Arabidopsis thaliana: one gene and its partner. The protein of the gene in region 2 binds, or shares a complex with, the protein of the main gene of each other region. Each region holds a gene or a part of one and is shown on either strand. Other genes may lie near its edges. A codon is read from its position in the direction of its gene.

Region 1 (7,049 bases), on a different chromosome or scaffold from region 2:
GGTGGATCACTCCAGGCCTTTTCCAAACTCCACGAAAGCAGGCAGAAACACTTTCTTCCCGTGAGTTTTTCCCGGTTGATCTGCGATTCAACAGTGTCTATCCGAAATTTAGTTGAAATGGTCATAGAAGAGTGTAGTAGAAAGGTTGGAATTTGTGCTCAAAATCGGTCAGAGAAGTCAAAGTTTGCTACTTTTCCAGTCTCTAGAATGATGTCAACAAGATCACTCATTTCCATGGAGTCAACTTGAAGAAGAGCTTTTTCGATCAAATCCTTGAATTCGATTGATGGGTATCCTCGGCTGCGACGCCCATGGCGATTTGAACGATGCAGAGTTCAGCAAACCCTTACCTTCGATTGGTATCTACGTTGCCGTAGCTTCACTCATCTGTGGTCTAGCCATGGCCGCCGATCTTATACACGGCTTCCGACACCGCAAATTCTGGTTTCCCTGTAAGTTCTTCTCTCTCAACGCCACTTCTCTGACTTTCATCGCTGTCGGAATCAAACTCTCTGTGGATCTCAACACTTCCATGCCGAGTCGTCAGGATCAGTTAGCTAAACTCAGCAGCACCGTCTTTGTATGTACTGTGATGGGTAATTCGATGCCTTCTCTGGGTATTATGGACAACAATGATCTCCTCATGAATCTTATGGCTTTAGGGATTCTTGTCATCACTGATGTTGTTAACATCTGTATTCAGTTGGGTACTGGTGCGATTTATGTTTTCTCTGAGGAACATTTTCTGGTCGTACTTCTCATGCTTCTTATGCTTATGATCTTGTGTTTCTCGGCCACCACAGTTCCCACTACGAAAAGAATCTTGGAGAGTAAGTACAATAAGAGGTACGACGTTGCTATGAAGTGTCCTTTGGCTACAGAGAGAACAGTTGCTAAGAAAATTCAGCAAGATTTGTCAAAGTTTTGGATGATGGCTCATACTAGTAGCCCTCAATTCGTGATGGCTCGTTCTGTCACGTGCACTGCTTCTGGTTTCTTCTGTCTCCTGAGTGCCATTACGCTTGGTGAAGCTATGGTTAGGAGTTACTTTTTAAGACCAAGGTCACTTGGGTTCTGCCATGGAGATTCTGATTACAAATGGTCAACTTCTCTGGTTCTTGTTTGCCAGACTACTACTGTAGCTATAGGGACCATTGCTCCTGCGATCAGATGGTTCACGGCTGTGAACTTCAGGTGTCCGATTAGAGGAAAGAAGTATTATAGAGATGAGTTTAGAATAGAGAGTTACTGGACACATTGGTTCTCAGAGAAGAAGCAACATCCCTTAAGCCTTTGGATCCTCAAAGAACGCAGATACAGGAAGACTGCACACAATGCAAAACGCTGGATATTGGATGTATGTATTGTGATACAGTATGTGATTGTGTTTGGTAGCAAAATTATCCGTTACATCTCGGTATCCTGTGTGGGTAAGATCTTGTTGTGCTGTCATTTCGCCTTAAGGACCAGTAATACTATCACACACAGTGAGTCAGAAAAATCCGATTCAAATCCAAGCTCGAGACAGGACCTAGCGAGTTTTGTCCTGCACCTTGAAGGAGAGGACCCGCTGGTGGATGTGATGGTGCGGAGCAACCGGGAAGCGACAGATCATTGGATAGAGAAGGGCAGAAAGAAACAACCAGTGAATCTGATAGAGCTTTTGGAAGCAACAACACCCATTTCAAAAGGATTTGAAGGGATTGCAGAGTTCGACAGCAACAAGGTGGCTTCTCTGGCCCACGGAGAACCGCCCAATTGTTGGGCTCTCCCGCTTGTAACACTCACAAGTATTGCTGTTGCACTTCCCGACATCAAGCCCTCCTCCCTGAAGAAGTTACTCAATGCTGTCAACGAGGCACTGGAATATGTCAACAAGTTTGAATGCGTCCTGGATACCGGAGGAGAGTCAGTTAACCTCAGGAAAGCTGCTGAGGTCGTTTGGCTAGGTGTTGATCTCTATCACAAGTGGTTTGATGTGGATCTTCGGAAACTATCAAAGCAACAAAGAAATCCAGAAGAAACCCTTCGGGAGCTGATGGAAATCGCGAAGAAAGAGTTCTCAGAGTCATGGCAGATGAACCTGATGGTATGCATGAAGCACAAGCCCTCTCACTGGCCCATCAAGACTCTAGCAGCCAACTCCATGTACCGAATCTGTCAAACAATTCTACTAACTTACGAATCAAGAGACTATGGAACAGGGGAAGCTCTGTTGAGAAAGCTGGAAAGCACAATATCAGACATAGTGTCAGGTTGCTTTTGCAACGTAGCACAAGTGATATCCGTCAAGTGTTTGGTGTCAGCTGTAGAAGTAAGGGAAGAATCAGTAAGAGGAGCAGCTCTGCATCTGGGAAGAACAGAGAAGATTCTAGAGATCTTAGAGAGAAGAAGGTTACCTAAATTGAGATGTGATCAGATGAAGAACATCGACGAATGGAGAGCATTCTACAAGATTAACTCTTGCGAATGTGATAATAACAACAAGACAGTTTATCCCGACTCGGACGAACTGCGCCTCACTGTTGAGTAGTTTATAGATATGTTAAAGGTTGTAGCTTTTTCTGTTTTTGTACCTTTGTGTATTCACCACATGAATCTCTTTGTATATAGTAAGAATCTGAAGCTTTTTGACACACTTGAAGTGTATGTGTTTGCTCATTTCGTTGGTTTTAAAATTCGTTAATCGAAATTACAATATTGACCTCTTTTAAAACGATGGCGTTTCAGGGAATCGTTTCAGTGACTGCGTCTTTCTTCTCTCTCTATCTGTAATTTGATTGGATTTTGGATCGAAACCTGAAAAGAGCGAAAATGGCTGGAAGATTGAGCGGTGTTGCGTCACGAATCATGGGTGGAAACGGCGTCGTTGCCCGATCCGTCGGTTCTTCTCTCCGTCAACGCGCCGGAATGGGTCTCCCCGTCGGCAAACACATCGTCCCCGATAAGCCGGTGAGTCAAATTTCTGTTGTAAATTTCTTGTTAGATTCTTCTGAAAATCTGATGTTTACAAATTGTGCGGGTCAGCTATCGGTAAACGACGAGCTGATGTGGGACAACGGGACTGCGTTTCCAGAGCCTTGCATAGATCGGATTGCTGATACCGTCGGAAAGGTTTGGTTACACGATTTCTAATTGCTGGTGATTCTCGGTGTAAAAAGAGATTGCTTTTCTGATTGATTTTGGATTAATGTGAACAGTATGAAGCATTGGCATGGTTGAGTGGCGGATTAGGGTTCTTTGTTGGTCTCGGTCTGCTCGCTGTTTTGAACGACAAAGCTTCTAAGGTTCCATTTGTAAGTTCAAAGCTTTCAACTTTCGAAATTATAATCAAGCCCATTTTGTTGTCCTGAGTGTGATGATCGAAGTCATGATTATGCTAAGATCTATCATCCCTATGCAGCTGTTATTATGTATGTTGTTCAACTCTGAATTTGATACATATGTTTGGCATTGGCTTATTTCTGAGAATAGGTTTTTGCTGGAATCTTCAGAAACTCATTAACTAAATGTGGACAGAAAACATAGGAATCTACAAAATATGCTCGCGTAACAGAGAATGTGTCAATGTTCTTTTCTTTATTTGCTGAATTGCCGCAATATTTAGCTTTCAGTTCTGCATTTTGTCTGTTTATGAACATGAACAATTCTTGCTGTTTGCTTTTGCATCTGACCAAAGTTACTGGACTAGATGAATCTTATGTCCGCATTGCTTCCATAATCCTGTCTTAATTAATTTGAGCATGTACGTTGTAGTTAGGAACACTTGAAAGAAACACCCACAGTGTTCTTGGGAACTCGGTAAATGCTTAAGCGTATGCTAGAGGTGTATGTACCAGCAGCTATAATCTATGTTTTAGTTTTCTTAGTGTCCACTGGCCAAGAATGAAAAACTCTGTATCAAAGGTTAATAGGTTATACTGTGATGAGTCTTGTTTTGAAGGATTCCGAGTAAAAGACTTAGGCCTAAAAAAGGTGCTCTGGCTTTTTGTCTAGACATTGGTGCTGTTCATTTACTCTAGAAGTTGTTCTGTGGCATCTCTTAGAGGTGTAAGAAAGACATGAAGGCTCTTTGAGGTGCATGAGCAGCTAAAATCGATGAGTTGGTTCTCTTAGTGTCGACTGGCCAAGAATCATAAACTTTGTACAAAGGCTATACTATAATGAGTTTTCTTTAAAGGACTTCGAGTTATAGAAGTTGAACACCACACCGGGGCTAAGAAGTTGATCTATGTCTTCTTGTCTATACATGAGTTGAATTGCTGTTCTTCTTTTTACTCCAAATGTTACTTCTCTTAGTGTCCGTTGGCCAAGAATCATAGACTTTGTATCAAAGGCTATTATGATGTGTCTTGTTTTGAAGAACTTAGGGTTATAGAGGTTGAACAGCACTCCAAGGCTGAGAAGTTGCTCTATATCTTCTTGTTTATACATGAGTTGAATTGCTGCTCTCTTTTACTTTAGAATTTGTTCTGTGGCATATCATCTCTCTGCTTTTGTGTCATTGTGGAACTTGTTTTCCATATCATGTTAATCTCTTACTGTGTTGTTGCAGACACCGAGAGTGTATCCATATGACAACCTGAGAGTTGAGCTTGGAGGAGAGCCATAGAGACCCATCTAAGTGATCTGCTCATCAAAACAGGAAGCGTGTTTTCTTCACTGCTTTGTTCTTTAAAATGTTTGTTGTTTCCTGCTTAGAACTTGAAGACAAAAGAATAAAAAGAAGACTTTGTTTTTATTATATGCGTTGTCTCTGTAATTAACAGTGACCAGTGAGAGAGATCCATAAGAGAAGACTTCTGGTTCAGGAAATCTTGAGTTGTGTTTTGTAACTTTTAGAAAACAATCGTCTCGCAATTCAGTTAGCGCCATGTGTCGAACCAAGTTTGAGCCTCGTACGACTTCAATCAAACAAAGGCTACAATAAAAAGAAAAAAGAAAAAAACAGAAAGACAAATTAAACCTAATGGGGCATGTGAGTGGGACATTGAGAGAAACTCGAACTTGTTCGTATCCGTCTTGGAATTGAAACTTTGGTTTTATATCCATTACGTATTCGGTATTTCTTTCCTCTTCTGTATATTATTCATATCTTATACGCATTTATTTAGTTCTCTTTGTTTTCTCTGATGATTATCTCTATCAAAATTCATCACGACAAGTAGTTTAGTAAGAAATTCGTATTTGTAAACATAGATCTTATTCTTACGGGTAAAAATTAATATGATAAAAGATTGGTGTGACTTGTCTAAAATTTTTATACTAAGAAGAATACTTTAAGAAGCTCTAATTTGAAATTTGATAAGTGACTGTGGGATGATGAATTGGATTTGACTTGTACAAATACACGTCTAATGTAGACTTGTCACAATAAGGGGCAAGTTTAGAGACTACATAGTCTACAATGCAGATGATTAAAACTATAGTTGATAATCATAGAATCTTAAATAAAAATCATAGAATCTATGGACTGAAACTTTCCAAGTGATGGAATCAAAGACAGCCACATGAGTCAAGGATTTCTTTCAATCTTTTCAAATATTCCATAAGAGTAAATAATAATAGTTTCATGATCAAAATCATCAATGTGATCTGCCTATGTGTCATTTGTACCGGCTCTTGTTCAACCTGACTGTTTTGGACCCCTTCAAAACAAGATTGTGATTGGTACCACACCTCTATTTTTCTCTCTTATTATGTTATATCCAGTTATATTTGAGGGAATAGTTCTTATAAGTCTTCCTTCTCTTTGTTGGCAAACTGGATATAGCAAATCTCATCGTACGTATATCTTTACATGCATGTGTGTATGTGTGCTTATCTTCTTTAGACCAAGTGCATCTATATCTCTTAGAGAGATTTGACAGACAAGTTAAAAAATCCAAATACATGTCGATTCTTGAACATTTCTAAGAAAATTTGTATCTATATGATTATTACAACAATATGATTATTATTATTAAATTTGGAGGAAAAAGGACAAAAAAAAAAGAGAGGGGAGGGTAAGAACCAGGGAAGTTGGGCTCTGGAGGAGTACCAAAGGCTGCATATAATAACGTGTCTCACTCGCTCTCTTTACTCTTGCCAACTATCAATTTGGCTTTCAATTCTTTCTCTTTTGTCCTCATTTATTTCCATATTTTTCAACATTTCTATATCCTCTTAATTCTAAACCATAAAAAAGGATTTATATATCAATTCGAAAATGATTATGTTTTTCTAAATATTTCGTAATATGTAGCTTATTTAGCAAAAGAATATACTTTGAAATTTTAGTTATTCTACTATCCATTTGACATATTAATCAAAGTTACAGGCTTATGGATTGTGGATAAAACGAAACCAATAAATGTTAATGGAGAAGCTACGATCAATATTATCTACAAGTTATAACTCTTAAGTTTACATATTTTTAATGATTAATTCCCTATAGGCTATAGCACTTGGATTATATGACTACTGAATAATTTATTAGCAAATAGATTGTTATGATTACTTGTCATCTTAATCTCTAGTGTCCTTTTATGGGTCATCAGATTCTAGAGTCCAGACAAAATTACAAGCCATCACAGCGTCGCCACTTGTAACTTGTAATTTGCAAGACCCCATCATTTTCATTTTCATGGCCGATTATTTTCCTTAGATAAACTGAAAAGTCATCAATCACATATTCACTGAAGAATGACCTTTCTTTCGTATATTAACCCATTATCTAATAATTCGATTTTGGCTTCCAAAAAAATACATTATTTGTCTCTTTAATCAATCTTACCCCATACATTGTTAATTTTATTTGCGTGAACCAGCAAAAATTTGTGATTGAAAATACAATTTTTTTTTACAGGAAAAAAACACAAGTTTACTAAAAAGGCCTTCACATACTAAAACATGTCACATGTGTCACTCACGGTCTTACACCGAATATTTTCGTCATATGACCACAAACTTTAATTATTCTATAAATAACCTTAATATAAACACATTTCGTATATTTATTTTTATGTTTTGCCCAAACACATTATAATAAAAGAAATAAATAAATTTAT
Region 2 (6,738 bases):
TCGTCTTTATTCCACACATAAATCAGACATTTCTATACCCAACGAAAAAAACAATCAAATAATAAAATCTACACACAAAGTGAGGTCATTGACCTTTAAAATGTAGCCTATTGTGCTTTGCATTTTCTTCTCATTTATGCACATTCTCTAAATTATTATAAAAACGTGGAATTCTCTGCATATATGCCAAAATTCGCTTTAACGATTTTAAAAATGGTTTAGTGTTTGATTAGACGGTAATTAAAATATAATATTCAGTCACCAGCTTGTCAAAGACACACGAGTTGCTTATATTACCTATATATTGACTAGAAGAATAATACAAAAAGCTACCTAGGTTATGATCATTGATCAAAATAATCAAGTAAACACATTCCAAAAGGTTTTATCAGTGAAACAATTTTACTATATTCACTAATAAAGCCTTTTATTATCCTACTGATGATCATTGATCGATAAACACAATTGCATGGATGGATAAAATGTCTAACCGAGAGTTCAAGTCTCAAAAATCAAAATGGTTAGTACTAATACATGTATGAGAGAAAGTGGAAGCAAATGAAAATAATACATTAAATGAGTCTGGCAGAGACAAATAGCTCCAAGAGAAATTGAATGAGTAATTGACTGTGGAGGTCCATGATTCATGGCTTTTACCACAATCAAAACATTCAATAATTCTCTTTGCTTGTTTTTTTATTAATATTATAAAACTTTGTACATACATGTAAGATAATGTAACCCAACTGGATTTTGGACTATAAAAAACATAACATTCTTTTTTGTGTGTGGAAAATTTGGATGTGCAAATCTCACCGAACCATTCGACGATTATCAATGTTAATTTATTATTCTATTGGGTCAATTTTCTCATCACCCATTGATTGAATTCAATCATAGCACATGCAAGAACAAGGCAAATTCTAAGATGGTTAAAGTAATATAAAAGGTGTAATCCATGAAACACCTAGAGAGAACAGAGAAGAATTAGCCTTTTCACACCTAAAATAACATTAAACAAAAGTGAAAGAGAGTTGTTTAAAAGTTTGATTTGGGAATGGTTGGGCCACCAAAAAAATTACACAACTAATATATAAATTACAAGACAGAGAATATAATATACAACAATGTACACATGGATAGATATAGACATTGCATGGTTATGTGAAAAGGTTTAGAGTAGTGTGAGTGCATAATTATTGGAAGTAGGACCAAACAACTCTTGACTTTTCATCCTTAAGGATTGGAATTAGATTTGATATGTTTTCTTAGCATAACCTCTTTTATTCCTTTTTTTTTTCTTTTTCTTTCAAAAGCGTAACTTTTGCAATTTTTTTTTTTTTTTTTCATATGAAATTTTATTGATAAACTTGTTGTGCAACCAAGGTAGAATACAACCCCCAAAAAAGGAAAACTAAAACCGGCGAACGACATAAATGTTTCCGGAGTCAAAGCCGAAGGAAAACGTAATTAATGAAAACACAAAACAGAGATTTGTAAACCTAAATCGAAAGAGGTCGAACCCAACAACTAAAAGCAGAAACAAAGGCACAAACCCTTTTAAACTACTAATCTCTAGAATCAACAAGTCCTCTTTTCTGAAGCAACTACGGATGAGATTTACCAAAAATGCTCGCGGCCAACCTAAAGATAACATCAACCACCTCCTATCAATATGACTCTCAATATGAGAGCCAATCTATCGTAACTTCTACGATTCTTGTTCCATGTTTTTATGCCTTCCACATATCAAGGAATATATAACTACAAAGTGGTATACTTTTTTTCGTATCTATAATCCTCTTTTGATTCTATCATAAATGACAACTCATTTTCTGTCGGATTCCTCTAATCACCATTACCGTTTAGACTTCTAGTATTTCACTAATTTCGTTAGATGGTTCTTCCAGTGAAGTGATTTGGTTCTATAAGCAATGTGTCAGTGATCTCATATATATTTTTTATTTCTCACAGATTAAAGATAGAAAACCAACAAAAAGATGAGTTTTGCATCTTATTTTTTGGGAAACCACTCCAAGTTAAAAAGAGTTCAAAAAAAAAAAAAAGATAGAGAATCTTGAACATTCACATCTGAAAATGTAGCAACAATTTTTCATCACTAGCAAGAAGAAAAAGATTGAAAAGCAGAGTCCCCACCATCTTCACAGTTCCAGAGAATCCCTGTCCAAATATTTTCAGAGTGTGAATTAGGACTCAGAAGAATGAATAAACAATCAAATCAGGAGAAAACAAAATCATTGTCATGTTGAAGAATCTTAGACCAAGTATTTAGGGGTCTATCTTTATAACAGAGAAAACACCCATTGGTGTCAAATCATAATGGCATATACAATGAACAAGTAGTGAAACACATAAGAACGATATGAAAAAGGAAAGAATCACACAAGCATGCAAGAGTACTCAATGGCAAGTGAGAACAAGAAGATGAGAGACATTAAGAGATTTGTTCTGTAGCTGTTGTGACATAAAATACCAAAACAACAAAGCAGAAAACGTTTAGACACAGGTATGTAGTTGGTGCTGTAATTATACAATTCTTCTCACGGATTTATAAGTAACACAAAGTGACTGTACCAATTCTTAGCCATGAATATCTGAGACACAATTTACAAGTTCACAAAAGATATATATCAATCATAAGAATTTCAAAGCCTAGAAGTGTGAGATCATAAATCAAACATAAAAGATATAGTCTAACGAATAGACTTGGGTCTAGTTAATCAGTGAAACTCTCTTGTATCCTTTTTAAGGGTCTGTAACACAAAGCGACTGTAACAATTGCTAGTCATGATATCAGATTACAAGATCTTAAAACAGAGAACGGGCAAAAGAAGTTGTAAACACAAAAGATATAGTCTAACGACTTGAATTGTGTCCTGTTAAGCAGTGAAACACTCTTATATCCTCTACGGGTCTGTAACACAAAGTCACTGTAACAATTGCTAGTCATGATATCTGAGACACTATTTACAAGTTCATCGAACATATAACTTGCAAACATAAAAGATATAGTCTAACGAATTGAATTGTGTCCTGTTAATCAGTAAAACACACTTAAATCCTTATATAGTCTAAAGGTTCCAGCAAATTAGTGCTACTGATTACTTAAAGACTTATCTATTAAGCTTTGAAAAGGAAACATCATGAAAAAACAAAATCTGTAGAAAATCCAGTCAATGATGGAATTTTCCTTATCCAAACTTCAGATATCATTGAGATACTTTACAACAAGAAGTACAAAGTCCAGACATTTCTCTAACATGATTGATACAGAACAATTGTGATTGCAGTCTAAGAGAAATTGAATCCAATTGTAGTCAAATGTTCACAACAGAGGCAACAAAATTGCTAAGACGAGAGAATTCACAATTCAAAACCAAGATAATGCATTAGACATCTAATTGAACAAGCAATCTCATTTATTCCCAATGAAACCCTAATTTGGAATTTGAAGAACACGAAGATCTGATCATGTAGCAGAAGAAACAAACCAATTCAATCAAATCAACCAAAACACAAGAAATCGAAAAACTATAGACTAACCGGAATCTGGAATCGGCAAATTGGAGAAGGAATCGAATCCTAAGCATTAGCAGTTTTAGGGATAAGAGGAACAGCAGCGTTTCCTTGTAGTTTATTCTGTTTAGCCAAAGCTTCTTCTTCACGGATCTTCTTCATCGCAAGCATTCTCTCCATAACAAGCTCGTATTCACACTTCTCATAAACGTGACGCTCGTCTTCACATTTCCATGGAAGGTAAAACTCAGCCTGACGACATTTGTTGAGCGGAATCAAGAGATGAGCGCACATATCTCTAGATCCAAGTGCTATTTTAGCTGCAGACATCTCTTCTTGCGTTGCGATCATCTTCTTCGATGAACCTGGAACCTCCATTTTCGCGATCCCCAAACCTCACAACGATACTCTCTTCTTCTTCTTCGATTTTATTGACCCGGAACATTCTTCTTCTCCGGGTCATATTTGTGCCCGTTTGATATGGGCCAAAAGCCCATTTGATTTACTAAGCCTATGGACAATTTCTCTCAATTTAGTATTCGAACCCTGAATTGTTTATAATATTGCAAATGCGACTTAAACTTTTGAAATTGAAAGGAAAAGTACACAGCAATGTTGTTATTGATACAGAGACAGTTACAGTTGAAAGAAACAAACTTTTGTATGTAATGAAAGTAGATAGATAACAGCATTACTACGACGAAGCTTTCTTTTGCTTATACCTAGCAGCAGAGAAGAAGTAAACCGCCATGTTCACAAGGCTAAGACCAGCCAAGAGCCAGAAGAAGTAATCGAGATGACCTGAATTGAGATTATCCGAAATCCAACCTTCTTGCCCATTTCTTGTTGTAAAATAAGTCACGAGCGTGAGGATCAACGAGCTCAAGTAGTTACCAAGTGCATTGGTCAAAAGAGCCAAGGCACTGCACAAGCTTCTCATTGCATCTGGAGATTGGTCGTAGAAGAACTCGAGCTGACCGATGAAGTAGAATACTTCGGCTGCACCGAGAATGAAGTACTGTGGAATCTGCCACAAGACGGATATGGGAACTGGGGCTCCTGACTCGACTAATCCAAGATCGTTGGCCATATGGAGACGGATGATTTCGACGATAGCTGCAGCTGCCATACAGAGAACAGAGACAAACAGACCAATTCCCATTCTTTGTATCTCAGTGAATCCTTTGTCTACTCCTGTGAACTTTCTTGCTAAGGGAACGATGAACCGGTCGTAGAGCGGCACCCAGATGATGACGCTTGCTGTGTCGAATGTCCCGAGTGCTGCAGGAGGAAGCTGGAATGATCCAATTTTGCAGTTCATGGCTCGGCCTTGTTGAACAAACATTGTGGACATTTGTGCGTATACAGCTGAGAAAATGATACCAGAAGCCCAGATTGGGAACATTCGGATCAGAATCTTGAGTTCTTCGACTTGCGTAACCGTGCATAGTCTCCACGAGTTGGAATAATCTCCGGATTTCGATTCTTCTTCTGAGATAACAGCGGCTTTGTCAAGATACCTGCATCATACCAGAATAACTTGTTAAACCAAGTAAAGCTATACATTACTGGAAAGCAATGAAGCGGATATTTACTGGCAATCATCGGTATGCTCGATTTTTCTACTTCCAGCAATAGCAGAGTTCTTGTCTTGAGTTTCATACAGAAGTGTGGCGTCTTCAGGGACTTTGACAGACGATTTCCGGAACGAAGCAACCACGACTTGGGAAATCCGAGTTATAGGGCTTCCTCCAGGTTTCTGAAACCTATAAAGAGGTGTGCCAAAGAAGAAACTTGCAATGGCTAGTCCCATGAACACTGTTGGTATCCCAAACCCTAAACCCCACCCGCGATTCTCTTGAATCCAAACTAGAAGACTAGATGACACAAGTGCTCCAATATTGATGGAGAAGTAAAACCAGTTAAAGAACGAAGCTTTTCTAACTCGTTCCCGAGAGTCCGTGTCATCAAACTGATCGGCACCGAAGGATGAGACACACGGTTTGATACCTCCAGTTCCAAGAGCGATCAGGTAAAGCCCACCAAAGAACATCGCATACTGAGCTGGCGTTGCAGATGGACAAAAGTCACCAATACATTCCGCTGGCTTCAATGCCGGAACTGAAGCTGAAAGAGTTAACGCAGACATCCCCTAAACAAATACAAAAACCTATCAGTAATCAGGAGCAAACAAACCAAACCAAACATTACACAGAGAAGCAATGCTTACGATGAAATAAATCCCGGAGAAACAAGCGATGGTCCAGTAACGTCCCCAGTAAGCATCAGCCAGAACAGCTCCAATGAGAGGAGTGAGATAACAAGTCCCTTGCCATGTGGTAACGTTTGTAGCAGCAGAAACATTTCCTTGGTGAAGCTTAGTGGTGAGGTAAGTGATTAAATTCCCAGCAATACCATAGTAAGCTAGCCTCTCACAACATTCATTACCAAGAATAAAAGGACAAGCTTTCCAGTTTCCTGTTTTCTCCTTCAATGGTGGGTTTCCATTAAAGTCCACTGAACCATCTTCAGCATACAATTTCACTTCCTACTTAAAACAAATTCACAAAACATTTTTGATTAGCTAACTAAACTATAACTGTATCAAAGCTCGAAACTTTGATCTATATCTACTTGCAAAATTCAAACATTGGAATCATCAATTAGATAAAACAGTGATTGCCCAGAAAAGATCTCAATAAACCCAGAAAGAAAATGCATAAGATCAATCTAAAGTCAAGATTTTGGAATTGAGTAAAATCAAAATTCGCTAACCTAAGTGATTAATTGAAATTGAACAAACCTGTAAAATTAAACCTTCTTCGATGAGAGGTCTTGCTTCTTCTTCGATGGAACCCATCGTTTTCGTTTTTTGAGCTGAACCAATTTAGATTCCTTACGTTGAAGCTACCTATCTAACGATACTCTATTATTTATCGGAGACGTGACGGCTTTTTATTTTACTTTTCCCGGCGACTTATTGGAAAATAAAAATCAAAACTTTGATTATAATAAGAGAAGTAATTAACAAAACTCATCTTTTTACGAATTTTTTGTTATTATTATGACGTAAAGATAGAATTGTGGATCAACCTGTTACCTGTCCATGTCTCAAGTTGTTGATATCACTCTAATCAAGAATTTTTTTTTTACATATATGTGTTTCTAAAACAATACATCATCAATACGTTGTTGATATCA

What was found. Proteins that work in one complex are often made in the same cells at the same time.
Region 1: the proteins of AT2G02050 (region 2) and AT5G47570 are in contact, whole or in part, in a cryo-EM structure (PDB 8BEH), measured with the Arabidopsis thaliana proteins. Residues at the interface, in NP_565280.1 of Arabidopsis thaliana: Met10 (codon at 3,888), Ala12 (codon at 3,882), Thr13 (codon at 3,879), Gln14 (codon at 3,876), Met17 (codon at 3,867), Leu24 (codon at 3,846), Gly25 (codon at 3,843), Arg27 (codon at 3,837), Asp28 (codon at 3,834), Met29 (codon at 3,831), Arg69 (codon at 3,711), Met70 (codon at 3,708), Ala72 (codon at 3,702), Met73 (codon at 3,699), Ile76 (codon at 3,690), Arg77 (codon at 3,687); in NP_568684.1 of Arabidopsis thaliana: Ser103 (codon at 3,282), Lys104 (codon at 3,285), Val105 (codon at 3,288), Pro106 (codon at 3,291), Phe107 (codon at 3,294), Thr108 (codon at 4,556), Pro109 (codon at 4,559), Arg110 (codon at 4,562), Tyr112 (codon at 4,568), Pro113 (codon at 4,571), Tyr114 (codon at 4,574), Leu117 (codon at 4,583), Glu120 (codon at 4,592), Leu121 (codon at 4,595).

What each region holds. Positions count from the first base shown.
Region 1 is NC_003076.8:19,290,432-19,297,480, reverse strand, and holds AT5G47570 (NADH dehydrogenase ubiquinone 1 beta subcomplex subunit), read left to right. Parts: upstream 1-2,680; 5' UTR 2,681-2,814; coding exon 2,815-2,952; intron 2,953-3,027; coding exon 3,028-3,114; intron 3,115-3,200; coding exon 3,201-3,296; intron 3,297-4,555; coding exon 4,556-4,612; 3' UTR 4,613-4,894; downstream 4,895-7,049. Other genes in the region: ASG7 (uncharacterized protein), read left to right, coding at 287-2,533. UniProt on the Arabidopsis thaliana protein: Accessory subunit of the mitochondrial membrane respiratory chain NADH dehydrogenase (Complex I), that is believed not to be involved in catalysis. Complex I functions in the transfer of electrons from NADH to the respiratory chain.
Region 2 is NC_003071.7:487,201-493,938, reverse strand, and holds AT2G02050 (NADH-ubiquinone oxidoreductase B18 subunit), read right to left. Parts: upstream 3,988-6,738; 5' UTR 3,916-3,987; coding exon 3,604-3,915; 3' UTR 3,565-3,603; intron 2,182-3,564; 3' UTR 1,881-2,181; downstream 1-1,880. Other genes in the region: PTR2 (peptide transporter 2), read right to left, coding at 4,232-5,057, 5,133-5,689, 5,768-6,085, 6,341-6,397. UniProt on the Arabidopsis thaliana protein: Accessory subunit of the mitochondrial membrane respiratory chain NADH dehydrogenase (Complex I), that is believed not to be involved in catalysis. Complex I functions in the transfer of electrons from NADH to the respiratory chain.